7 linked regions of the Oryctolagus cuniculus genome follow. The protein of the gene in region 1 interacts with the protein of each later gene in a pairwise test. Links are inferred from orthologs where the notes say so. Each region holds a gene or a part of one and is shown in the gene's direction. Other genes may lie near its edges.

Region 1 (3,500 bases):
CATGATTGAGTTCTGATTTTAGGTGTAATGTTAGGAGTAGAACCTTAGAGAAGGGGCCAGCATTGTGGCATAGCAGATAAGCTGCTGGCGTCCCTATGATGCTGGTTCATGTCCCAGCTGCTCCAGTTCTGATCCAGCTCCCTGCTGATGGCCTGGGGAAAGCAATGGAACATGGCCCTAATACTTGGACTCCTGCCACCCACGTGGGAGACCTGCAAGAAGCCTCTGGCTCCTGGCTTTGGCCTGGCCCAGCCCCAGTCATTGTGGCCATCTGGGGAATGAACCAGCGGATGGAAGATCTTTTTCTCCCTCTCTCTGTCTCTTCTGTATGTTAACTCTGACTTCCAAATAATAAATAAATCTTTAAAAAAAAAAAATAGAGAAAGAGGGTGTTGGAAGCTCACCTGAAAAAAACCACACTTACTTCTCAACAAGTAGTTGTCCGCCTGACTCCTCCTGTGTGGTGGTGAGGTCCTATCCTTGGGAGCCATCACAGAAGTAGCCCTTTCACTGTTCCCATGTGGGCGCTGGCTGTGCCAGGGCTGCCCTCTGGGGCAGGCGTGGGTGCCAGTGACGGGGTTTTCTTCATGTTCTGTGTTTAGGTTTTGTTTTTAGAGTGTCTGGGTTGAAGTCCCAGAACTCCACTTTTTTTTTTTTTTAACTTACTTGACAGGTAGAGTTAGATAGTGAGAGAGAGACAGAGAGAAAGGTCTTCCTTCCGCTGGTTCACCCCACAAATGGCCACTATGGCTGGCGCTGTGCCATCCAAAACCAGGAGCCAGGTGCTTCTTCCTGGTCATCCATGCCGGTGCAGGGCCCAAGCACTTGGGCCATCCTCCACTGCCCTCCCGGGCCACAGCAGAGCGCTGACTAGAAGAGGAGCAGCCAGGACTAGAACCCAGTGCCCATATGGGATGCCCGTGCTGCAGACAGAAGATTAACCAAGTGAGCCACGGCGCCGGCCCCCGTGTTAGGTTTTTAGGTTCTCGGTTGGGGTTCCTGTGCATTCCCGCACCTCACCTGTGAGCGTTCGAAGGTAGCCTGTCGTCGCTGGCGCGTCGGGCCGCACCGCCTGCCTTTCTGATTGCGTAGTCTTCCCTTCCTCCCCGACACTCCCCCTCCAGCTTCTTGTGGTCTCAGACCTGTTCACTGAACGCAACCAGTTTGAGATGATGTATGCGACGCTGACCGAGCTGCGGAGGGTGCACCCTTCGGAAGACGAGATTCTCATCCAGTACCTGGTGCCTGCCACCTGCAAGGCAGCTGCTGTCCTCGGCATGGTGAGTGGCACGCCCTGCTGCCGGTTCCCCGGCTAGTCTTCAGCTCAGAGCATCCAGTTCTGCTGCTGCCGTTCCACACTCCTCACAGAGATGGTCCCTGCAGCCGCACGACGGCCTCTCCACGGTCTGCCGGTGGCCCAGTGCACGCCCAGTCCCTCTGTGCCGCTTGCGTTTGCCACAGCGGCCTGCATTCCTGCTCCCAGGTCTGGGCACTGTGACGTGTTGTTGGCGCCAGGGCCAACTGGGTGTTGAGCTGCTGGGGCAAAGCCTCTTGGCCTGGATGGCTCACAGCCAGCCCGTGAGCACGACACGAGCAGGTTCTGTGCACAGTGAGGGGCGCTGCTTGCCGTGTCCCTGGGGTGGCATGAGCCCACCCGCGGAGTGCTGTCACACTGGGAGTTGGTTTTCAGCCTGCGAGTTGGGGGCGGGAGGTGGGGCACAAGCATTCGGGCCCTAGCAAGGGTCAGATGGTGTCTTCCGGTTCCTCCTTACTCTGCCTTGAGCTCATCGGTGCTTACGGCACCAGATCCTGTGCCTGTGTCACCATGGGAAGGCTGCCAGCCACACACGTCAGCTATACGCACCACTAACCATGAGTGCCGTCAGTCCTTACAACACTGTAAGGCACTCGTGTTCTGTGGCCACTTCAGTACTGTGTGTGTCAGCATTTAGGCCTCTGGTGGGGGCTTGAGGGTACCTGGCTACCCCGTGTTCCACGCGTTTTCCTCTGTGTGACAGCAGGAACATTGCCGCTCCTGCTATGCCCGCACCCCTGGCCTCGTCTACATCTGAAAGGCAGCCTGAGAAAGCAGAGGTCGGAGGTTAGCTGACTTGTGCCAGGTCGCACAGGATGGGGGCTCGCCCTGTTGCCCACTGCTCCCTCCTGGGGTCTGTCCCGGCAGAGCCTGGGTGCTGGAGCAGGTAGGGTGTCGTGGGTGGCCTTCAGCCTGCTGCCGTGCCAGTGACTCAGAGCCACGCAGGGAGCAGAGACAATGGGTGTGGGTCTCCTGGTGTGAACATGTTCTTCAAAGTCAGTGCCTCTGGGTGCTGCCTGAATGATGGCAAAGCAGCTCCCTGGAAGGGGCCTTTTTTCTCTGTGGGGAGTTCCAGTGGCTGGCTTAACTTTTCATTGTCACTGTGTTTTGTGCTAGACCCAGAGCCCCCAGGCAAATGTAAATCAAATAAATGAAATAAGAAATAACAATTTTCTAGAGAGATCCTGAGGCAGAAAGGCGCCTGGACCCTGCTTCTGAGTTCTGTGCACACAGCTTTTCCCTGGAAGATGGCCATCTTCTGTGAGGGTCTGCAGCGTGCCGTCCTCAGCCCCGGCAGGGACACCCGCGTGGTGGCAGCGGGCCGTGTTTTCAGCAGTGGGGCTGAGGAGTCGGGCAGGCCCAGCCCAGGGGTGAAGCAGGGAGCGTCTCCTTCTGCCTGAGGCTTGGGACGCAGAATTCCCACAGAAAGCTGGATGGCCACGGCCTCTCGTCAAGACAAGGTGTCAGCCAGCAGCAGCCACTCTGCGTGGAAACGGTGTGGAGAACCTGGTGTTGCAGCACGCCCACCACTGCCTGCGACTGTTACAGAGCACAGTGCCGCGTGGGTCTCGGTGTGTACAGGACCCGTTGTACTAGGACTCACAGGACTGAGCGAAATGGACCAAGGCAGCATCGAGTGCTGTCGAGAGTCCCCAAGATGACTCCATATTTTTGTTAGAAGGGATCACAGCTTAAATTCATTATAGGAAGGGGTTCAGAGCAGAGTCAGCAAAGAGAAAAGGCACAGGGCCAAAGTTCCAAGGAGACCGGCCGAGCTCCCAGAATCCTCTCCCAGTGGACTCTCCCAGCTCATGCTCAGTCCCCCAGCGAGACGTTCTGACAACACACAGGACATGCAGTCAGCCAGGGGAGCCCGGCAGGGACTCCGTGTGCGGGGTCTTCATGGGGGGCTGGTCGTGTGGGCACGCTCGGCCGGGCTCGTTCTAAACCTCAGACTCCCAGGACAGCAGGTGCAGCATGAGCCCCCTTGTCTGCACAGGCAGCCGAGGCCCGTGTGGGCAGTGGGCACCCTCCCAGAGCCAGCGAAGGGCTAACCTGGTGCGCAGGCCTCTCTCAGACAGCCAGGGGCTAACCTTGTGTGCAGGCTTCTCAGACAGCGAGGGGCTAACCTGGTGCACAGGCCTCTCTCAGACAGCGAGGGGCTAACCTGGTGCACAGGCCTCTC
Region 2 (4,138 bases), on another chromosome or scaffold:
ATATCAGGTAAGCAATGGCTAAATTTCATTTCCCAACGTCCAAAAAAAAAAAAAACACCTCAAATTATTTATTTTATTTTATGGGGAGAGGGAGGTTTTAGATATTTGGGACCATTTGGTTTGTTTTTCTAGATTTCATTTTTAACTAGTAAATGCCCAGGGTAAATAAGTTTCTCAAAGGAGATTCTCCTTTATTGTTTTCCCAGAGGGTTTAAAGTTTTTTGGATTGAGTTAAGAAATAGCCCCTATTCACAGTGCCAGGTAAAGGTAGTGCCCTTAAACATTTATTTCATGGTTCTCTTCCTCCTTCACTCTTCTTCCTGCCTCCCACCAAAAATATTTGAAATATACGCTTTTACAACCTGCCTTGTAAGTCACTTCACTTGTATTTTTGTTTTCAACGTCCACATGCATTGTGAGTATTCGTTTTAATCAATATATATTTATTGAGCAATTGTAATGTTAAAGATGTGCTAGTTGCTATGGAGGATATAAAACCCCAAGAAGACAATATTCCTGCCCTCAAGAAGTTTACAGTTGAGAGAACCATACTAAAAGACAGACTATAATAAATGTTTTAAGGAAGTAAGTATAAATAAAGTTCTACAAAAGTACAGGTGAAGGAGAGATGAATTCTGGCCATGGGACATATGGGTAAAGATTCACTTAAAGTTTCAGTGAGTCTTCAGTGGGCCTTTGAAGAATGGGTAGAATTTAGAGAGGAAGGGAAAAGGGAGAGAAGCACAGCAAAGACAAAGGAACAAAGGCAGAAAGAAAGCACAGGACAGACGTATTTGATGAAAGTATTTACAGGGAGTGTAATAGGAAATATTGCCGGGAGGTAGAACTGGTTCCAATCTTAGTGGCTGTTAAATATTGTCCTTTTGTTCTCAAAAAATATTTTCTTTATATAATTTCAGCTTAAAAATCTTTGTTGTATAGCATCTTAAAAATGAGCATCTAGATTTGTATAAAATGTAATAACTTTATCACAGATTATTTAATGCAGTTTCTTTTGACAAGATTTCTTAAACTGGTGCTTGGTGTAAAAGGCATGTGTGTTGATTTTTTTTTTTTTGATTGAGAAAGAATTGTTACAGTTTGATACTGTCTTTCTGGTTCTATTTGTTAGCAACTGTGTACACAAAGTCTGCAAGATGGCTAGCTAAAGCTAGGGATCTGAGTCTACTGACTGGAATTACTGCATGTGATTTTCTGAGTGTTGTTCTCTAGACAGGTGATCTCCAAATTGAGTGCATGATACTAGTTATTAGTCATTACATAAGCACACACATACGGATTTTAATTTTATGCCACTCCCTCCAGAAACAGGTGAGAATGACCACTTTAACTCACCGGGCTCGTCGCACTGAAGTAAGCAAGAACTTTGAAAAGAAGGTAGAAAGTGAGGAAGACTGTAATCAAGAGAGGAATCCAGACACTGAAGACCCTGGAGACTCCAAGGATATACGCCTCACCCTTATGGAAGAAGTATTGCTCCTGGGACTAAAAGATAAAGAGGTAATGCTATTAGGTTTGCTAGGCTATCTCAAAAGACTACAATATTAGAATGGGTTATCAAGTAATCTGATGAAATCTTTTTGTCAGTGGTTAAGTTGGCCTTAGAATTGTGAACCAGCCATCTGGGAGAGGAATTTGGCAGGGTGGATGATACTTGGAAATTAAAATCCTGAAGTGGAATGATATGAAGTGTAATTAAATTTTGTTTGTTGATTTGAAGGCTAGAGAAAGGGAGAGACAGAGATCTCTTGTCTAGTGGTTCACTACCCAAATGCCTGTAACAGCCAAGGCTGGGCCAAGCTGAAGCCAGGAGCCCAGAATTCACTCTGGATCTCTCACATGAGTGCCAGGGACCCAAGTATTGAGCCATCGCCTGCTGTGATCCAAAGTGTGCATAATACCAGGAAGCTGGAATTGAAAGTGGAGTCACGGCTGAAACCCAGGGATACGGGATGCCACTTCACCAAATGCCCATCCTTGAAGTATAGTTTAATTTCAAAGTTACTCCAAAATTTTAGAAGATACAGAAGAGGATAATACACTATGTAGTTTTATACTTGTAGCTTCCCAAAACAATTTGATAGTGAAATAATAATCACATTTAAATAAGAAATAGGGCCCACATGTTGAAGTCTTTTTGAGCTTTGGAGAGAAAAAGTCTTAAATGAAAAGATAAGTAATAAGTGTGATTAGCTATCTTACAGAAATAAATGATGGATAGATTTTTTTGTAGTGTAGTATAACAGTAGTAATTTTTTAATTCTCTTCTCGAAGATCTTTAAAAGATAAATGAGAATTATTTTAATTTTAGAAAAAATTATAAATAGCTTCAGCGTAACTTTTTTTCTAAATTTTTCTGTATTAATAGAATTATGTGGTTTAAAGTAGAATTGGTCTTGAGGTAGTATGTTCTGGCATATAGCCAAATATCTCTGGTTTTTCTACTAATACTGTACACTATCTTTCGCTTGTTATCTAACTTTTTACTATGTTTTCCCATCTCTCTCTTTGCTCATAAAGAGGTTATGAAGGCATTTAGATGTAATATTTTAAACATATAGATGTGGCCGGCGCCACAGCCCACTAGGCTAATCCTCCACCGGCGGTGCAGGCACCTGGGGTTCTAGTCCCGGTTGGAGTGCCAGCTTCTGTCCCGGTTGCCCCTCTTCTAGGCCAGCTCTCTGCTGTGGCCCGGGAGTGCAGTGGAGGATGGCCCAAGTGCTTGGGCCCTGCACCTGCATGGGAGATCAGGAGGAAGCACCTGGCTCCTGGCTTCAGATCGGCGCAGCACACCAGCTGTAGCAGCCACTTGGCGGGGTGAACCAACGGAAAAGGGAAGACCTTTCTCTCTGTCTCTCTGTCACTGTCTATCTCTGCTTGTCAAAAAAAAAAAAAAAAAAAAAAAAAAAACCACACACACATAGATGTAATATTTTAAACAATATGCTTTCTTTCCAAGGAAGTCTTTTTTTTTTTTTTTGACAGGCAGAGTGGACAGTGAGAGAGAAAGAGAGAAAGGTCTTCCTTTGCCGTTGGTTCACCCTCCAATGGCCGCCGCGGCCGGCATGCTGCAGCCGGCGCACCGCGCTGATCCGATGGCAGGAGCCAGGAGCCAGGTGCTTTTCCTGGTCTCCCATGGGGTGCAGGGCCCAAGCACCTGGGCCATCCTCCACTGCACTCCCTGGCCACAGCAGAGGGCTGGCCTGGAAGAGGCGCAACCAGGACAGAATCCGGCGCCCTGACCGGGACTAGAACCCAGTGTGCCGGCGCCACTAGGCGGAGGATTAGCCTAGTGAGCTGCGGCGCCGGCTCCAAGGAAGTCTTAAGTAAACAGAGGAATATTTATTATTAGCCCTCAGTTTGGAAAACTTAGACAATTAAAATGTTAGTTTATATAGGAAAATACTGTATTTGGTTTCCATAATTGTGCTAAGCTAAAAATGAATTGGCTGTTTATACCTCTAGTACCATCTCTTCCTTTCTACATTGATTCCTCAGCTTTGCATTTTGTTTTTCCTTCTCAGTTTTTTGTCATGTCAGATTACCAGCCTGAATAGAACTTAGAACTGTTATAGTCTCTGTATTGTTAATATTAGGAACACGTTCATATGCACTTGACCAAAACACAGTATATGAAAGTGTTTCCATCCATGCATATGAAGAGTACTCAAAAAGTTCATGAAAATGCATTTTTGAAGCAATTCAGGATTTCAAAATTTTTTTGTAACAAAACATCTTTTAATTTCTTTTTTCCTTGAACTCTCTGAAGTACTCTTATATTAGAAAATTTCGCCTAGAAGTTATTTTCCTCTTTGCTAAGAAAGTTGATAAGGCTCCAATTTTATAAAGAGCAAGTAAATGAAAAGGCAAAACCAACTCTGCAAAAGAATGTTAGAGTACCACTGAAGATTAGGTGGTATAAATACTGTTTTGAGATGTTTATACAATGCATAGGAAACATTCCCTGACTGTAGAATATTTTAGAACTAAAAGCTACTTGATTTTAGTTTTAAATAGCTAGTTTTGATTAATTTCCTTATGACCTGATGCTAGACACTAGGAATTTTGCTTCTTTGATGTAGAAGAATTGCCCTTGTATTTGTCTTTCTATATTTAT
Region 3 (3,500 bases), on another chromosome or scaffold:
AAGACCCTAGCGTGCTGATGGACACACCACACACATGCTTGGGTGGGGCCTGTTCCCAGCAGGGCTCCTGTGGGAGCAAGCGTGGCCCTGGCCTCCCACAGGATTGCCGTGTTAGCACTGAGCCCAGGGTCCTGGGTCTGCAGGCGGCCGCACCTGGACCACATGAGGGACAAGGGCAGTGCAGCCCACGAGTCCCCTGCGTGGTCCCCGGAGGTTGCCTGGCTCTGCATAGCAGTTATTGCTGCTACGTCATAAGTCCATTTTCTTGACCATGAGACGTCTCCCCAGAATGTGTGTGGTATGTGATGGCCATAAGCGGTCCCCGCTGTTGGTGAGCATTGCTGCAGGCTCACCGCACCACAGGGCGGACGCATGACTTCCAGCCTCCGTGGCCTCGCGTGCCGTGGGGTGGGCAGCCAGAGTCCATGGGACACAGGAGCCTCTGCCCTTGGGGGAACTCACAGCGCCCTGGGGAGGCAGACAGTTAACAAAGAACGTGACAAGGGCAGAGAGCAGCAGCACCAGCGCCATGCAGTCCCAGGGAGCAGCCTCTCCCACGGCCCTAAGGCCCCGTGGCCACTGGTATCTGCCAGAAGCTCTGTAGGAGGAGCTGGAGTGGGCAGGGCTGGGACAGGAGCAAGTGCAAGACCTGCTGGGCGCAGAAGGGCAGGGAGCTGGCGAGGGGCGGAGGCCCCCAGGGCCCTGCCTGTCCCCAGCAGGCCACCTCCGCAGGCAGTAGGGCTGAGAGGTCAGAGCTAGGTCTCAGGCTCCCGTTGTGGCCACAGTGCTGGTGAGCATGGAGTGAGCTGGGAGAGGCAGGCGTTTGGGACAGATGCCTTGGTGAAACAAGTAGGGGTGCACCTGAGGTCCTCCCCAAGCACGTCCCTAGGACGTCCCTGTGCCTGCTGCTGCCAGGTCTCTGCAGCCAGACCCCTGGTCCTTGAGCAACAGCCCGCCCCTTAGCCCAGGAGTGGGCCACGCCCCAGGAGGGAGAGGCTGCCACTCAGACTTCAGTGGCCAGGACTGAAGCTGCTCCCGAGCGGCACACGTGCAGGAGTGGATCGCTCCACATGGTGCCGGCGAGAGGTCAGCAGGACACGCGTGTGAAGCATCTGGCCCCCAGGTGACCCGGCCTGGGCAGTGCAATTGAGGGTCCAGGAGGAGCCCCAGGCTGCTCTCCCCGGGGTGGCGTGGGCGCCCCGTGAAGTCACGGTTTTCCTTTTTTTTTTTTTTTTTTTTTTTTTTTTTTTTTTTTTTTTTTTGACAGGCAGAGTGGACAGTGAGAGAGAGAGACAGAGAGAAAGGTCTTCCTTTTGCCGTTGGTTCACCCTCCAATGGCCGCCGCGGCCGGCGCGCTGCGGCCGGCGCACCGCGCTGATCCGATGGCAGGAGCCAGGAGCCAGGTGCTTTTCCTGGTCTCCCATGGGGTGCAGGGCCCAAGCACCTGGGCCATCCTCCACTGCACTCCCTGGCCACAGCAGAGGGCTGGCCTGGAAGAGGGGCAACCGGGACAGAATCCGGCGCCCCGACCGGGACTAGAACCCGGTGTGCCGGCGCCGCTAGGCGGAGGATTAGCCTAGTGAGCCGCGGCGCCGGCCGGTTTTCCTTTTTTAATAATATTCTTTACTGACTCTAAGAGCGCTACACGTCCACTGCGAATGTTTGGGAAACTGAGGCTTCTAACTGAGCTTGCGCCCAGCGGGCTCTGGGGCAGACTAATGGGAGAGCCCGACTTTTCCTCTGCAGGAAGATCCTAACACCTCGCCTTCTCCGGGGACACGGGCAGCCAGCCAGCCTCCTAACTCAGGTAAGGGGCGCCCAGCAGAGCCCCGCCCACACGAGGCCCTGGAGTGGGAGGAAGAGGACAAGCTGGCCCCACCCCTTCCCTGTGTGCGAGCAGAGGGAAGCCAGTTCCTGTGGGTCCCCACAGGCACCGCCTGACCACGACGATGTCCCGTCTGAGCAAACCAGTGTTCACTTCCTGGGGACCTTGCGTCCCACCAGAGGGAGGGTGCTGGCCCTGACAGCTCAGATCCAGGGGCGCGAGGCTGCGTCTAGGGCTCGGAGGAGTGTTTACATGTCAGGGTCCATGTCCCCTGCCAAATGCCAGCCAGGTGATTGGCGCTACCGATCCCGCTTGCTCTGCCAGAAGCAGCCCCAACCCTGCTCTTGTCACCCCCATGAGCTGCACCGCAGGAGACGGAATTGGGGAGGGAGAAGAGGCTTCCTGTGGGAAGACCCAGGGCTGGCTGTTCAGTCATCCAGCAAACCCTTGCTCGGCATCTGGCCTGTGCCAGGCCGGGGCAGCTCTGCCAGCTGCTCACCCCACCTGTCCCTGCGCCCGCAGTGGCTCATCCCACTCCTCCAAGAAGGCACACCCTAGCCGTCTCCTTATGGGACTTGCCTGGGGGCCGATTTGCCGAGAGCCACTGGTTCTTGGCCAGTGACCAGAAGCAACGTCCGTGTCTTTATTTGCACAGCAGAGCAGCCCAGAGTGGAGGCCCCGTGGTCGAGCAGGTTGCCCAGGGCCACGGACCTGGGCTGTGGTGTGGACGCAGGGCTCGGGGCTCTGGCTGCAGCTACCATTCAGGCTTCTGCCTCTGCTCATCCTGCAGTCAGTGAATTCAACAGATCTCTGGCAGCAGTGCCAGCACTGTGGCGCAGCAGGTTAAGCCATTTTTCCCCAGGCCGGCATCCCATCACAGCGCCACATCGAGTTCTGGCTCCTCCAGCTCCAATCCAGCCCCTGCTCGTGAGTCCTGGGCAGCAGTGGGAGACGGCTGGGCCCCCGCCACCCACAGGGGAGACGTGGAAGGAGTTCTGGGTTCCCGGCCTCAGCCCCTCAGCCTGGCCCAGCCCCAGCTTTTGAGGGCATCTGGGTAGTGAACCAGTAGATAGAAGATCTGCGTGTGGGCATCTGTCCCTCTTTCCCTGCCACTTTCAAATAAATCCATACAACTCTAAAAAGAAAATGGAAGCTAAGCCAGCTTTGCCGCCAGGACAGGAAAGCGGAGATGCAGTGTGTGGGCAGCCTGGGGGCGTCAGGTGACAGCAGCGCGAATGGGGCTGCAGGGCCCGGCCAGCCCTGGGCAGCTGTCAGGGGACCCCAATTCCTGGACACACTAGTGCCCGGCACAGGGGACACAGGGGCTGCCCCGGCTGCAGCGGCCCTGAGGCCAAGGAGCCAGGTCTCGGCGGCCGCCGGGTCCCCCCGGCCCTGAGGTTCTCCATCACCCGTGATTGACAGAGCCTGGCCGGAAGCCCTGGGAGCGGAGCAACTCGGTGGAGAAGCCTGTGTCCTCCCTCCTGTCCAGGTGAGCGGCCCGGGAGGCCGAGTGGCGCGGCCCGGGGGCCTCGCAGGCGCGCCGGTTCACGTGTCTTTCGTTCCGTTGCCGTAGAAGCCCGTCCTTGGCCAAGAGCCCTGAAGCTAAGAGCCCCCTTCAGTCGCAGCCTCACTCTAGGTACCGGACACCCCTCCCGCCACGCGCCCCCAGGTGCCG
Region 4 (4,262 bases), on another chromosome or scaffold:
TACTTCTTAACGTTTCCATCACTTTTTTTGTTTATGTTTAAACTTCCTGCATTATAACACATGTAAGGACACGCCCCAATCATCTACATACAGTTTGGTGGATTCTCAAGAGTAGTACGTCCACCCTCCCAGCGCGCTTCTTGTTAGTTCTCAAGGTGACAACGCTAAGACTGAAGGATTAAAACCGCCAACCACCACCACCAAAACACAGGCATACTCAACGAGGAGTAAGTGTAACTAAATCAGGTGGGAGGTACAGAGGCACAAATGGAACAACTTTTGGCTCAGGTTTTGTACCACACAGGTATTGTCTGTCGACCTGACAGGTCCCTAACTTGCAGGGCTAGGTGGGTCTCCTACGGTCGTTTTTTCCCTGAACATTTCAGAGCAAACAGCAAAAAAACCATGAAACCTCAGGACCAATTAGCTCGTGTAGCAACACTGACTCCCATCTTTGCCATTCCACAAACTTTGACCTTACACCGTAGGTGTCACGTTGGACGCCTGATGTTCAAGGTCCTGGCGCCTTTTTCTTTCCCTTAACTGGCGGAGTGCTTGTGTTAACCAAAAACTGAAGTTCCCGATGTGGGACATTCCCAATTCCGTGTATAGTCATAGAGGTTACTACAGACACGAGAAGGTCCGCTGGTCTCCAACCAAAGTCCACCCAGTACGAGCCTTTCCCAGCTCTGGGTCCCGACTTTTTCATCCTCAGAGAGCAGAGGTGTTCTGTTCAATCCTTTGTATTTTCAGCTGTTTCTTCGCCCCATTGGTAACTTCCCCATTCGCTAACAAACAGGTTACACCGTTCTTATTCGTTTTGTTCGGAATTTACGAGCCTTTCAGCCCCACAAGCGACTAACAGCCCTAAGCGGGCTGTTCCCCGCAGAGAATCCACAGAATCCCAGGCCCCTGGTACCCAGACGAGGCAACAATGAAAGATCTGCAGAGCTCAGCAACATTCCTGAGAGCCCGGGCGCCCGCTCTGATTGCAGGAGCGCGCCCGCTGGGCTAACCTTGGTGGCCGAGAGGTGAGCGGGCTCCAGAGGAGAGGGGCCCGCGGAGCTCGCCTCACAGGGGGCGTGGGCGACCCTGCCAGCCGCCGCCTGCAGCGAGCGCTCCGCATCCCGTCTCCCGGGCAACTCCGCAACCCGACACCGAGGCTCAAAAACCCGCATCCCGGGCCGCCGGGCGCCGGAGCGCCGCGCAACGCCGCTCGGCCGCGGGGACTCCGAGAGGTCCCTCGCCCCGCCGCCGCTGCCCCGGGGTGCCCGCTGCGTCGCGGGAGAAGCCCCCGCTGCGGACCCCCGAGCCTGGGCACCGCGGCCAGCAGCTCCCCGGCCGGCCGGCCGCCGCCGCCGCCGCACGTGGCGGCCGTGATTGTCCCGGAGCGGTATCCCTCCGCGCCCCCGCCCCAGCCTCCCCCCTTCTCTCCTCCTCCCGCGCCTGCCCGGGACCCTCCGTGTCGGGGCGCCGCGGAAGGATCGCACGCACACGCACGCGCGCGCACGTCCCGCCGCGGCCGCGGAGAGCTGAGGGAGCCGCGGTGAGGAGCGGCAGCCGCCACAGCCGCCGCCACAGCAGCTCCGCAGCCTCCCGCCGCCGGCTCGTGGGCCCCGCGGCTGCGGCCGGGTCGGCGCGCCCCGCGGCTCGTCCCTCCCCGCCGTCCCCGCGTCCTCCCTCCGCAGCTCCTCGGGGAGGGGGGCGGTCGGTGCCTGCGCAGAGCCGCCTCCTCCCCGCCCCCGCCCCGCCTCCCCCCGCGCCCGCCGCCGCCCGCGCCCGCCGCCGCCGCCGCCGCCGCTGCGCCTGCTGCTGCTCGCCGTCCCCGCTGCAGTGCGAAGGGCTCGAAGATGGCCGGGTGGCAGAGCTACGTGGATAACCTGATGTGCGATGGCTGCTGCCAGGAGGCCGCCATTGTCGGCTACTGCGACGCCAAATACGTCTGGGCAGCCACGGCTGGGGGCGTCTTCCAGAGCATTACGGTGAGGACCGGCGGCGGCCGGGACCCCGGTGCCCGCACCCGAGCCGGGGCTGGCCGGCCTGGGGTGGACGCCGCAGCGAGGGGCCGGGACTGGAGGGCCGAGCCGGCAGGTGTGCGGGGCGGCGGGCGCGGAGGATGCGGCAAGTGGCCGGCGCGGGAGGCGGAGGCCCGGGGCCGCCCCCTTGTCTGGGGCTGCGCTGACCAGCGGGGGCGGCGGCCGCCTGGGCACCCGTGTGGGGGGAGGGGTCGCGCTCCGCCGGGGTGGGCCGGAGGGGGCTTTCCCCTCTCTTCTCGGTGCGTTTTCTCTAGGTCCCTTGCAAGCCCTGAGCTGTGCTTCGCTCATCCTAGGGTGGGAAGCGGGGGTCGGGCCCCGGCGGGGGTGCACCGGGGGCCCGGGCCGCCCGCCCGCTCGCCGCCCGCGCCGGGGGCTGTGGGAGGCGGCGGTGGCGGCGGCGGCCGCCCGGCCCCCGGGATTCTCGAAGCGACTTTGCGTAGGTTTGCCGCTGTCTGGGCCTCTGGGGCTTGCGAGAAATGGACGCGGACCACGTAGGTGGATTCGTGAATCTCGACTTCAGCACTGGCTCTATAGGTTTTTTTTTTTTTTTAATTCTCCAAGATGGCGAACTGCCATTGATTTCTCTCCGCCGCCTATGGAGATTCATCGATACACCGTTATCCCCCGTTACGCAACATAGCTCTAAAAAGGGAGTGCTTTTAATGGGCTCTCAGTAATCTGAAGAGCGAGGGGCCCCTGGACTTTTCCAAGTCCCTCCCTCTTCAGTGATGCAGATTTATGCCTCACGCTGCCTGCTTTTCTCCTGACTGATCCTTTTGACTTGGTTGCCACATGTTCCGGAAATATTTGAAACTGAGCCTAGAGCACTGCTTATTGTTTCGCCTGTGTCTCCCCAAGGCTCCCTCTGAAATTGTGACAGTTGTATCAAATGCGAGCTCATTTCCTTAATCTCTCAGCCTCCAGCTCTCTTCCCATCAGATACCAAAATTCCGCTCCCCTATTAGGAGTATTAATTAGTCCTTGGCTACTTAACACGGTTTGAGGTCTAACTGTAGAAGTGGGGTCTTCATTTTAGCACTGGAAGGTCTTCGGTACCCGCAGTGGAGTACATTTCTTAGGGAGAATTGGCATCTGATGATCAACTTTTTTTTTTCCCCTGCAGTCCTCTTGTCTTTGTGTGTGAGTTCCCGCTGTCTGGCTGGGAAGATTGCTGGAGTGTGCTTAGAAATGGCTGGGGCCTGCTATGACTCTGCAGTTCTGATGGGGGCGACGCCTTCCTTCTTATTCATGGAATGTTAGGATGCACGCTTTCTCCTTTCCGGTTCTGCTGGCTACCTCAGTTTCTTGCCCAAGCTCCCTCCATTTTCTCTGTTCTTTTACCGGTGCCAGCTGCAGTGCTGTAGACAGAACCCGCTTTGCATTTGCCCAGAAAGAAAACTGATTACTGAGATGGGAGGGGAAGGGAAGTTAGGAGGAAAAAAAAAAAGTAGTGGCTAGAAAAACAGGAGGGAAATACGAATTTGGAAATGCACTGGTGTGTAGGGGTTGACGCTCAGAGGGATATTGGCAGCTCTTCCCAGCAGGGACGTGAACTGATCTGCCAAGCACTGCCTTTATTTTGGGAGACTTTCAGGCAACTTTAAATTTGATGTGACATGACTGCGATGTGACTAAATATGATAGACAAGCTGTTGAGGAAAGAGTTTTTAGCCGAGTCTTTACCATGACATAAACACCTTCAGGCACCACCTGACTCGATACGGTTTATAAATAACTCTCAGGTTTGTAGTTTGTCTAGTGTCAACAGCCGGACACTTGGAGAGATTCTTTGTACAGACTGACCGCACTGGGAACTGTGCAAGCAGATGAGCTGGTAGAAAGCGTGTAGTCCATGGGACTGGGTAATCTTGCGGAAGAGACAACTCTTGATTCCGCGTTAGTGCCACGTGGCCCTCTCGTAGTGCTAGTGTGAACTGAGCACAGTCTGACCCTTTACGTGGAGACTTGAACGGATTTAACTACAACTTAATGGGTTTTTTTCCTTTTTCTTTTCTTTTGGGGCAGCCAGGAGAAATAGATATGATTGTAGGAAAAGACCGAGAAGGTTTCTTTACCAACGGCTTGACTCTTGGCGCAAAGAAGTGCTCAGTGATCAGAGATAGTCTATATGTCGATGGGGACTGCACAATGGACATCCGGACAAAGAGTCAAGGTGGGGAGCCAACGTACAACGTTGCTGTGGGCAGAGCTGGCAGAGGTAAGCGA
Region 5 (3,500 bases), on another chromosome or scaffold:
GTGCGCTGGCCACAGCGCATCGGCCGCGGCGGCCATTGGAGGGTGAACCAACGGCAAAGGAAGACCTTTCTCTCTCTCTCTCTCACTGTCCGCTCTGCCTGTCAAAAAAAAAAAAAAAAAAGAATACGAGGATGGGGAGGGAATTGTGGCGCAGAGGCTTAAGCCTCCACTGGGACCCAGACACCTCATATCAGAGCACTGGTTTGGGTCTCACTGGCTCTACTTTTTTCTTTATTTATTTTTAAAGATTTATTTTATTTGTTTGAAAGAGTTACAGAGAGAGGTAGAGGCAGAAGAAGAGAGGAGTCTTTCATCTGCTGGTTCACTCTCCAGATGGCCACAGTGGCTGGAGCTGAGCTGATCCCAAGCTGGGAGCCAGGAGCTTCCGGGTCTCCCATGTGGGTGCAGGGGCCCAAGCACTTGGGCCATCTTCACTGCTTTCCCAGATGCACCAGCAGAGAGCTGGATCTGAAGTAGAGCAGCTGGGACTCGAACCAGTGCCCATAGGGGATTCTAACACTGCAGGCCAGAAATTTAACCCACTGCACCGCAGCACCAGCCCCTGGCCCCACTTCTGATCCAGTTTCCTGCTGGTGTGCCTGGGAGTAATGGCCTCAGTACTTGGGTCCTGGTCACCCACATAGAGACCCAGGATAGAGTGAGGTTCCTGGCTTCAGCCTGGACCAGCCCTAGCCATTGGAGCCACTTGGGGAGTGAACCAATGATGAAAGATCTCCCACTCCCTCTCCTCTGTTAAAGGAATTTCTTGACTGGTGGCCAAGTAAATTTTATTGTGGGAACATAGAGTTATTAAATAATTCCTGTGTGCTTGACTCTTCTGAGTTTCATGTTATTTTAGTCCTCAGAACAAAAGGTATTTGGTAATATTCAGCACCCCTCCCTCCCTCCCTGCCTCTCTCTCTTTCTTTCTTTACCGGCAGAGTTAGAGAGAGAGACAGAGAAAGGTCTTTCTTTTCCATTGGTTCACCTCCAAATTGGCTGCTGTGGCTGGCGTGCTGCACCAATCTGAAGCCAGGAGCCAGGTGCTTCTCCTGGTCTCCCATGCGGGTACAGGGCCCAAGAACTTGGGCCATCCTCCACTGCCCTCCTGGGCCACAGCAGAGAGCTGGACAGGAAGAGGAGCAACCAGGACTAGAACTCGGCGCCCCAACCGGGACTAGAACTCAGGGTGCCGGTGCCACAGGCAGAGGATTAGCCTAGTGAGCTGTGGCGCCGGCCAATCCGTTCCTTTTTTACAAAAAAAAAAAAAAAAAAAAAAAAAAAACCACACCAGAACTATCTCCAGACTGGGTGTCTGGTTCAGAGGTTAAGTTGCTCCTTGGAATGTCCACATCTCATATCTAAGTGCATTGTTCAAGTCCCAGCTTCTCTGCTTCCAACTGTTTATTGTTAGTGCATATCCTGGGAGGCGACCCATGCGGGAGACCTGGATGGAGTTGTAGGCTCCTGACAATTGCAGGCATTTGGGGAGTGAACCCAGCAGCTGCAAGATAATCTCTCTCTCTGCCTTTGAAATAAAAAGTGAAAATAAATTAATTATAAGTAAATGATTTCTATTGCAAACCAGCAATACGAAGAATGTAGAACCTCTGCAGAATAGAAAGTGGAGCCAGTGGTCGCTCCTTGCAGAGAGTGCCTGAGTTAGAAGCTCACGGTGGTCAGACAGCTTTGGGCAGTGTCGTCCCTGGAGACGGCTCTGGCTCCTGGTACCTTCCAGCGTCCCAGGCCTGCTGGCAGCTGCTGTTGCCCAGACAGTGGTGGTTAAAGGCCAAGCCCATGAAGTGCTGAGCAAGGTGCCCTGTTATCAGCAGTGCCGTATTGATTACCCTATCTGGGAGCCCTTTTGACATCTTATCTCGGCTTTGACTGCCTTTTTGATTGAACAGTACTGGCAAGTGAGGAAGAAAGGGCTTTGGAGAGAGACGGGAGCCAGGATGTGCTGCCAGGGCAGTTGGTGCGGAGAGGGGCCTGAGAGCACCTTGGCCTGCTCCTCTCCTCTCAGGCCACACCCTGGGAAGGGAGGGTGCAGCCAGCTCTCGTGACCTACCTGAGCTTTCACGTGAAGTCCACAACCTGGTGTTGGAACTGTGGTTGGAATCCGTGGGAGAGGGCCCTCGCCCTGGCCACCTCTGTCAGGCTCTGCGCTGATTGCCCGGCGGTCTCACCCACACCTGCCCTGGTTCTTCTGCCCCAGTCGTCTTGCCCTGTTAGTTGTCTTAGGGGAAAGAGCACAGCCCGAAGGTGCTGCTGCTTGTGTGGTTCTGGGCGGCAGTGGCCTCTGCTGAGTGCGTGCCGTGGTGGAGGTGCGGAGAGGCTGCGGGTGCTCGGGCGGACGGCGGCCGAGGTGGGCGATGCAGCTTTGGCTCCCAGCCCCAGGGATGCCAGCTGGCCCGAGCGTGGGAGGACACTTGTCCTCTTCTCCCTCCCCCAGTACCATGCGGAGACCATCAAGAACGTGCGCACAGCCACGGAAAGCTTTGCCTCAGACCCCATCCTCTACCGGCCCGTCGCGGTGGCTCTGGACACTAAGGGACCCGAGATCCGAACGGGGCTCATCAAGGGCGTGAGTATCCTTGGGACACGGGGAGCCCAGGGCGTGTCTGTGGTGTTTGCTGGGTGCTGCCATGTTTTAGAATTCAGGTCAAGTGTAAATGTGGATTCCATGGTACCACAAAAGGATCTTTTTTTTTTTTAGTCTAAAAACTGACTTCTGGCTTTGAGAAGCAGTTTCTTTGTGTGTCTTGGCCGTCTTTAAGTAACGCAACAGAACGTGTTGGCCTTTGTCTTTGGCTGTTTCCTCGGATGTGCTAAGTTAGAGAAGGGCATCTGTTCACCAAGGGCCAAGCTTTGTGATTCCTCTGAGATTCAGACATTGTGCTAGGGAGGCGGGGGCGCTGGCTGCCAGCTGGACTCTCGCTCACTCTCCTGTCCAGAGCGGCACGGCGGAGGTGGAGCTGAAGAAGGGAGCCACGCTCAAGATCACGCTGGACAACGCCTACATGGAGAAGTGCGACGAGAACATCCTGTGGCTGGACTACAAGAACATTTGCAAGGTGGTGGACGTGGGCAGCAAGGTCTACGTGGACGACGGCCTCATCTCCCTGCAGGTGAAGCAGAAAGGTGCGTATCGCCAGCCTGAGCAGCACCCCGGCCTCAGGACAGCAAAGGCAGAGAGCTCCTCCGGCCTCCCGACTTGCGGGGCTCGTGGAAGGTAGGGAGGTAGGAAGCTTGGTTGTCTGGCGGAGAGATGGTGGTATGGTGAGCTCTGTTTATTTGAGAGGTAGATTGACAGAAAGGGGAAGACAGATTTTCTGTCTGCTAGTTCACTCCCCGGGTGCCCACGGCATCCAGGACCAAAGGCAGGAGCCAGGTCTCCTTCGTGGATGGGCCATCAGCTGTGCCTCCAGCTGTGTCAGCAGGGAGCCGGATCAGCAGCTGAACGAGGCGCTCCACTATGGGATGTAGGCGTCCCAAGTGGC
Region 6 (2,694 bases), on another chromosome or scaffold:
TGCTGCCTCCCAGGGTGCACATTAACAGGAAGCCAGAGTCAGGAGCCGGAACTGGGAGTTGAACCCACGCACTTTGATGTGGGATGTAGGCACCCTCACCGGTGTCTTAATTGCTAGGCTAAGTGCCAGCCCCCAGCAGTGGGACTTTTTAACGCCACACTTTCAAAATGACTCCTCTTCTGGAAAGTTGGTTGCGACTGTGTTCTTGCAACTTAGAAACGGTGGAGTGCCTTCTAGCGTGCCCACTGGAGACTCACTCCGCACTGTTCTCGTCCTGTCCACGTCTCCATTCAGGTCTCCCACGCTTGGGCCATCATCCACTGCCTCCCCAGGCAGGAGTAGGGTGCTGGATTCAAACTGGTGCTCTTATGTGGGATGCTGGCGTCGCGGGTGGCGGCTTAACCCGCTGCGCACACACCAGCCCCGGCTTAACCCGCTGCGCACACACCAGCCCCGGCTTAACCCGCTGCGCACAACGCCAGCCCCCAAAACCTGACTTTTACTTCTTTGTGATTTGGTCGGAAAAGGGCTACTCAGGACTGGAACCTCTTCGGTGGGTTTTGGGTGTCTGGCCTCTGGCTTTGTGTGTGCAGAGGGAGTTGAGCTGGTAACTAGTGGCTTCCCAAGAACAGTGGAGTTCTGGAAAAGCACTCCCTTCAGCAGGAGGTCCCCATTTACGGGCCGGGACTCCTGGCCTGCGGAGAAGCACTGGGGGCAGTGGCAGGTGGCAGGAGGCACAGAGGTGTTCTTCCTGACCTGTGCTTCCGTGGTCCTGGCTGGCTCACACGTGCACACTGGCCCAGCTCACACAGAAACACACACCAGTGGCCAGATGCTGCCCGCACCCATACGTACATCTGTGAGACGCACTGGCTGACAGACGACTGAACGACCAGTTCTAAAAGGACTTGGAACAAGTCTGGGGTGGGGGGCCCTCGGACGCCACCTTGCTGCGTCCCCAGGGCAGCAGCCTTAACTCCGCAGAGCGCCTTGGTTGGGCTGCGGCCAGATCACGCTGCCCAGGGCCCCACAGTGTGAGTAAATGCTTACTAACGACGGGCAGTGTGTCGGGTTTTTTTTCTTTTCGCCCTGCACTGTCTATGGTCATGAGTGTCGTGGACAAGTCTTGCCCCAGGACACCCTTCCTGACATGGCCATGGGGCCTCCCAGGGCATAGAGGGTCCTGCTCACACAATGCTGGTGTCCGTAGGCCTGGGAGCCCCTCTCTCCCGAAATGCTGTGTCCAGAAGCAGCTCCGTCCTTAGGGAAGTAGGAGCCACCGTGGTCGCAGGACACGCGCAGGGCCTTGTCCGCAGCTCGGTGGGGCAGTTCTCTGCCAAGGCAGCATCTTCCTTTTCGTGGTCATCAGCGGATGGCCCGACTCCTGGGAGAGCTGAGGTCGGGGCAGGGTGTGTCGGCAGACTCTGACCTCTGACTCCTCCCCCTGTCTCCCCAGGAAGGACCTCAGCGTGAAATACCCCGAAGACCTCCCCATCACCCTTCCAAATCTGCTGAGGTTCATCTTGCACCACTCGGCCCCCGCTTCCTCCAGCCAGGACGTGGCCAGCCCTCCTACCAAGGACTGTGTCCAGAGCGAGGCAGCACTGCAACAGGGGCACATCTCCCAGCTGCAGAGAGAGATCCAGAAACTGAGGGCGGAAATCGGCAGCCTGCAGCGGGCGCAGGTGCAGGTGGAGGTGCAGCTGTCGCGCGCCCGCCGGGACGAGCACAGGCTGCAGCGGGAGCAGCAGGCCCTGGAGCAGCAGCACCGCCTGCTCCGGCGGCACAGCCAGCAGCTGCAGGCCCTGCACGAGCAGAAGAGCCGCGAGCTGGCCGCGCTGGCCCGGCAGCTCCAGGAGCTGGCCGACGCCTCGGAGACGCTGCTGGCTGAGAACGCGTGGCTCAAGATCCTGGTGGCCACCATGGAGAGGAAGCTGGAGGGCCAGGACGGGGCGGAGGACACGGCTGCCCTGCCACAGGAAGGCCCTGACCCTCCCCAGCCCGCAGGCGCCCCCCTGCCACCTCCCAACGTCAGCTCCACGCTGGCGTCCGAGAGGAGTAACGAGAACAGGACAGAGTAACTTTTTTAAATGACATGAAGAAATCAGAGGTGAAAACTGAACATTGGGAATATATTTATGCAAATTTCACTGAAATTTATTGTAAATAAAGATTTTCTCAGTGGTCTGCAAAATCAGACTGAATGCCGTTTAGCTTGTTCCACAGGGGCGACGTCCCTCCCAGACCACAGACGCGGTCGCGCTGAGACAGCAGTGGCGCGGTGCCCTGCGAGGTCTGTCTGAAGACCAGTCCGTGCAGCGGCTGTCGGCTCTCGCCCCACCCCCACCCCTGCCTCTGTGAGGGAGGAGAGGAAGCATGACAGGTTAACTTCTTGACAAGTCAAAACTCGAACGCAACAGCTGGGCTGTGCGAGAATTCAGAGGTCGTGACGCGAGTGTGGCTCTGGTGTCTGTTAAAGTAGCTGTTGATAACACAAACAATGCACACTGCAGCTGGCCCACAGCCCTCCCACCAGGGCCCTGGCTCGCCTGATCCACACCCAGCGCCGCCACCACGCTCCCGGGAGCCCCATGCAAGTGCCAGGATGTTCCCGGCAACCAGGGAGGGCGCTAAGAAACCTCCACAGTGAGACTGATGACAAAGCGGCCTTTAATCATTCCAGAATCGGATTTA
Region 7 (4,003 bases), on another chromosome or scaffold:
AGGGGGCGAGGCCCTGACCCACAGGCATCAGCTCGACCCCAGCTGTCACGCAAGTAACCAGCACCGGAGCACACACGCCTTTACCCGAGCGCGACCCGGCCACTCCCACCGCCTCCCGCTGCTGGGCTCGGCATTCAGAACCCACTTCTGATGCCGGCCCTGTGCTCTTTTCTCAATGAGTCCGACCCAAGGTCCACCCCGGCTGTTCTCTGCTTACCGGCTCTCTCCCCGGGCTCTGCTCCCGCGGTGGCCAGGGCGGCCCGGCTCGCCGGCCGGCGGGGACGGAGTAGCGCCGAGGTCCGGCCGGCGGGGGGCGGGCGGCTCGGCTTCCGGGCTGAGGCGCTCCTGCTTCACCACCACCGCCGCCGCCGCCGCCGCCACGTCCCCCTCCCGGTGCCTCCGCCGGCTCCTCCGCTCCCGCTCGCTCTTCACCTCTTTCATTCTGCGACTCGGGTCGGGCAAAAGAAAAGAGGTCCGTTGAGCCACTCTCTCCGAAGGAAATGACGAGCTTGACCTCTGGACTTCCGCTTCCGGGGTGTGAGCTCTCCCAGCAACCCTCGCGGCGGAGCGCTGAACATGTGACGGCGCCCCCCCCGTGGGCGGGGCTGCAGGGAGCCGGCCCGAAGGGCGGGAGTTTTAAGTTTGGAAAGCAAACTACTGGGGAAAAGCGAACCTCTCAAGTTAATTCTTCACCGCGTAACTACAGAGCATGTGGGCAACCTCAGTGTACAGCTGTAGGGGGCTCCTTAGCCAATCACTGGGCATTACGTAGCTATTAGTAACGTTATCACGAACCATATACCGCTTTGTGGAAAAAGCCCGGACCGACACGGTAGAGGAAGGCGACGAAACTGCGCGCCAACCGTGATTCCATTTGGCCTTGGAAATACAAAAATGCAATCATAGTAGCCCGTGGACAAATCCTGCTATGTCAGTTCGCCATTTAACCTTGAGGAATACTTTTTAAAGCCCTGGGGATTCCAGAGACCCTCTTTTGGGGAATGGTCTCCAGCCCTTCACTGAGGTGACAATCTTGGGGCTCAGCGAAGGGGGATCTACCCAATCACGCAAGTTGCGCGCTATACGCAGCGCAGGGACTCGAACCCCCGTCTCCCGGGCGACCCGGCTGGCAGCAAGATTAAGACGCCGAGTGCCGGGGCCGAGCGCCAGGGCTGCGCGGGACGCGTCCGCGCGCCGCGCCACGCCCACCCGAGGCCCCGCCCCGGCCGGGAGGGGGGGCGGTTTCCATGGTGACCGCAAACCAGGCCCCCATCGCCGCCATGATCCCCCCGGCCGACTCTCTGCTCAAGTACGACACCCCGGTGTTGGTGAGCCGGAACACGGAGAAACGGAGCCCCAAAGTGAGGACGGGCCTCGGGGGACCGGGCCAGGCAGATCCCCGCGGCGAGAGTCCGGAGTCCGGGGACGGGCCCTGGGACGGGCGGAGAGGGAGCGAGTGGTCCGGGTGGTCCAGATGTCGCTGGGTGTGAGCGCCGCAGGTTAGACCTGGTCGCGGGGAGACAGACGGTAGGGATTCCTCTCCCGGTAGTCGGGTTCAAGGACAGGTCAGGTCGCGATGTCCCCACCGCTACAGGTGGGAGCGCAGACGCCTGACCGCTTCCTCCAGAAACACTGGTCCGCGCATTGCGTTGGGACCAGGGACTCTTCACGGGCTGGGGGTAGGGGAGGGGGTGCGCAAGACCCGGAGGCGTCCAGGGGGCTGAAGGCCTGAATCGTCTCTTCCCAGGCTCGGCCACTGAAAGCCAGCCCCCAGCAGCCGGGACCCTCCAGTCCAATCCCACAGATAACCAAGACCAAGCTCCCCTCAACTTCCTGTGTCCCAGATCCTACAAAGCAGGCAGAAGAAATTTTGAATGCCATTCTGCCCCCAAGGTAAAGCGTGGGCGCAGAGGCTGGGAGAAGACCAGACTTTGGTAGTGTGGGGAGAGGCGTTCGGCCCCCGTGCCTGGCCAGGGTTTCCTCCCTTGCTGGCCTGGAGCCGAGTCCAGAGGGTGGCAGGAGACCGCATCTCATTTCCTGAGTGCTCCCACCCAACCTCAGGGCCGGGGATGCCATCTTTGAAAGGTGTATTTCCCGCCCTGTCCTCTCTCCTAAACTCCAGGACTTCCTCAGTAGCTCTGTGAAGGTGTCCAGTGGACATCCCACACTCAGTGTGTCCACACTCACTCACAGCTTCGCACTCGCCCGACCGCTCATCCCGATCTTCTCCTTTCTGCTGGGAAACTCAGGCCACTTTTTGTTCCTTTTGGTCTTTGTGTCCTGTATCCTTCAGCAAACGATTCTGGCCCCACCTTCCAACCACTTTCTCCGCTTCTGCCTGCACCACCTCTTTCCCGGGCGCTGTTCGTCCCCTGCGCTTCAGCGTTGGCCTCTTATCTGGAAACCCCACTTACTCCTGCTCCAACAGCCTGTTCTCCACGCAGCCTCTAAGTCACGAGTCAGACTGTGCCACTCCTCTGCCAGAAACTGGTGTCCCTTGCCACTCACACGGAAGCCTGAAGCATGATCTGGCCCGGGCTGTAGTCCCAAATCCTATCACCTGTAATCCTCCTTCTCGTGAAGGCAAAGGGTTTCTGAAACACCTCGGTCCTCCCCGCCCCCACTCAGGGCCTGGACAGTTGCTGTCCTCACTGCCAGTCACGCAGATCCCTTGCGATCCGCCCTCACCCCGGCCCCGGTGGTTCCCTGGGGTGATTCCCTGCGTGTTTCTGCTAGGTCCTTGCTCCAATGACGTTTCCCCCCAGGAGGCCTTCCTTGAGACCTCTGCCCAGCTCGACCCCTTTCCCTGGCCTTTTTCTCCCGCAGCCACACTGAGCACAGACACACCCTTTTAATGTCTTATGCAATAACACACAGAACAGTTTGCAAGGCGATGAGGAAAGGGGAAACTCTGAGCTCCAAGATGGAGGTCAAAGGAGCAGGGTGGCTTTTCGGTTGCTTCTCTCCCTCCCCCATGGCATAGAAACACCCTCCCTTGTGGTGGTTCTGTCTCCAAACCCCCTCACTGTGGTTCCTGAATTGGTCTGAGCCTGGATCGCAGAGTTCACTGCGGGAAGCCCATGCAGGCACATACCTTAAAGAACCTCTGCACGGGCTCACTTGGTTAATCCTCTGCCTGCAGTGCTGGCATCCCATATGGGCACCGGGTTCTAGTCCCGGTTGCTCCTCTTCCAGTCCAGCTCTCTGCTGTGGCCTGGGAAGGCAGTGGAGGATGGCCCAAGCCCTTGGGCCCCTGCACCTGCATGGGAGACCAGGAAGAAGCACCTGGCTCCTGCCTTTGGATCAGCGCGGTGCACCGGCCGCAGCAGCCTTTGGAGGGTGAACCAACGGACAAGGAAGACCTTTCTCTCTGCCTCTCTCTGTCTCTCTCTCTCTCACTGTCCACTCTGCCTGTCAAAAAAGAAGGGGGTGGGGGGGAGCTGGAGCATGGGTGATTTCACAGAGATCACCCACCTACTCTAGACCCAGAGTAGAGTGCCTATGGAGGCAGCATGGTGGGGTTGGTGAGAGAGGCCTGGAGGACCCTGATGGGTAGCTGACAGAGCTGCCCCTCACTCTTGCTTAGGCAGAGAACTCCAAGGGCTCGGAGTCCCTGCTCAGGTCGGTGTGTGTCTGGCTCAGCCTGGCTGTTTCTCTGCCACAGGGAGTGGGTAGAAGACACGCAGCTATGGATCCAGCAGGTGTCCAGCACCCCCAGCACCAGGATGGACGTGGTGCACCTGCAGGAGCAGCTGGACCTGAAGCTGCAGCAGCGGCAGGCCAGGGAGACCGGCATCTGCCCGGTCCGCAGGGAGCTCTACTCGCAGTGTTTTGGTGAGTGGGCCTGGGGGAGGTGGGCACTGCACCCCCACACAGAAGCCCACCCCAACAGAATCATCTCTTCTCCCCCAGCCCGGCCCACCCAGAAACTGCCAAGTGCACGGTCTACTCCCAGCTCCGCCTCTCCCTAGTCCCCCACCTAGCTCTGCTCTTGACAACCTGG

What was found.
Region 2: the proteins of HTT (region 1) and GOLPH3L interact in binary tests that used the Homo sapiens proteins (3 or more experiments, as listed by UniProt). The link is inferred for Oryctolagus cuniculus from reciprocal best matches to the Homo sapiens genes HTT and GOLPH3L.
Region 3: the proteins of HTT (region 1) and EVL interact in binary tests that used the Homo sapiens proteins (3 or more experiments, as listed by UniProt). The link is inferred for Oryctolagus cuniculus from reciprocal best matches to the Homo sapiens genes HTT and EVL.
Region 4: the proteins of HTT (region 1) and PFN2 interact in binary tests that used the Homo sapiens proteins (3 or more experiments, as listed by UniProt). The link is inferred for Oryctolagus cuniculus from reciprocal best matches to the Homo sapiens genes HTT and PFN2.
Region 5: the proteins of HTT (region 1) and PKM interact in binary tests that used the Homo sapiens proteins (3 or more experiments, as listed by UniProt). The link is inferred for Oryctolagus cuniculus from reciprocal best matches to the Homo sapiens genes HTT and PKM.
Region 6: the proteins of HTT (region 1) and TXNDC11 interact in binary tests that used the Homo sapiens proteins (3 or more experiments, as listed by UniProt). The link is inferred for Oryctolagus cuniculus from reciprocal best matches to the Homo sapiens genes HTT and TXNDC11.
Region 7: the proteins of HTT (region 1) and DNALI1 interact in binary tests that used the Homo sapiens proteins (3 or more experiments, as listed by UniProt). The link is inferred for Oryctolagus cuniculus from reciprocal best matches to the Homo sapiens genes HTT and DNALI1.

Annotation. Positions count from the first base shown.
Region 1 is NC_091433.1:1,886,590-1,890,089, forward strand, and holds part of HTT (huntingtin), read left to right. Parts: intron 1-1,124; coding exon 1,125-1,280; intron 1,281-3,500.
Region 2 is NC_091438.1:47,346,147-47,350,284, forward strand, and holds the start of GOLPH3L (Golgi phosphoprotein 3-like), read left to right. Parts: upstream 1-1,338; coding exon 1,339-1,521; intron 1,522-4,138. UniProt on the Homo sapiens protein: Phosphatidylinositol-4-phosphate-binding protein that may antagonize the action of GOLPH3 which is required for the process of vesicle budding at the Golgi and anterograde transport to the plasma membrane.
Region 3 is NC_091451.1:43,850,586-43,854,085, forward strand, and holds part of EVL (ena/VASP-like protein), read left to right. Parts: intron 1-1,746; coding exon 1,747-1,807; intron 1,808-3,247; coding exon 3,248-3,314; intron 3,315-3,398; coding exon 3,399-3,461; intron 3,462-3,500. UniProt on the Homo sapiens protein: Ena/VASP proteins are actin-associated proteins involved in a range of processes dependent on cytoskeleton remodeling and cell polarity such as axon guidance and lamellipodial and filopodial dynamics in migrating cells.
Region 4 is NC_091435.1:131,456,337-131,460,598, forward strand, and holds the start of PFN2 (profilin-2), read left to right. Parts: upstream 1-1,462; 5' UTR 1,463-1,850; coding exon 1,851-1,982; exon of another isoform or gene 1,983-2,091; intron 2,092-4,061; coding exon 4,062-4,254; intron 4,255-4,262. UniProt on the Homo sapiens protein: Binds to actin and affects the structure of the cytoskeleton. At high concentrations, profilin prevents the polymerization of actin, whereas it enhances it at low concentrations. By binding to PIP2, it inhibits the formation of IP3 and DG.
Region 5 is NC_091443.1:110,889,947-110,893,446, forward strand, and holds part of PKM (pyruvate kinase PKM), read left to right. Parts: intron 1-2,452; coding exon 2,453-2,584; intron 2,585-2,954; coding exon 2,955-3,141; intron 3,142-3,500. UniProt on the Homo sapiens protein: Catalyzes the final rate-limiting step of glycolysis by mediating the transfer of a phosphoryl group from phosphoenolpyruvate (PEP) to ADP, generating ATP.
Region 6 is NC_091450.1:25,052,147-25,054,840, forward strand, and holds the end of TXNDC11 (thioredoxin domain-containing protein 11), read left to right. Parts: intron 1-1,456; coding exon 1,457-2,081; 3' UTR 2,082-2,194; downstream 2,195-2,694. UniProt on the Homo sapiens protein: May act as a redox regulator involved in DUOX proteins folding. The interaction with DUOX1 and DUOX2 suggest that it belongs to a multiprotein complex constituting the thyroid H(2)O(2) generating system.
Region 7 is NC_091438.1:135,210,829-135,214,831, reverse strand, and holds the start of DNALI1 (axonemal dynein light intermediate polypeptide 1), read left to right. Parts: upstream 1-1,203; 5' UTR 1,204-1,247; coding exon 1,248-1,361; intron 1,362-1,747; coding exon 1,748-1,893; intron 1,894-3,664; coding exon 3,665-3,834; intron 3,835-4,003. Other genes in the region: SNIP1 (smad nuclear-interacting protein 1), read right to left, coding at 218-441. UniProt on the Homo sapiens protein: Involved in sperm flagellum assembly.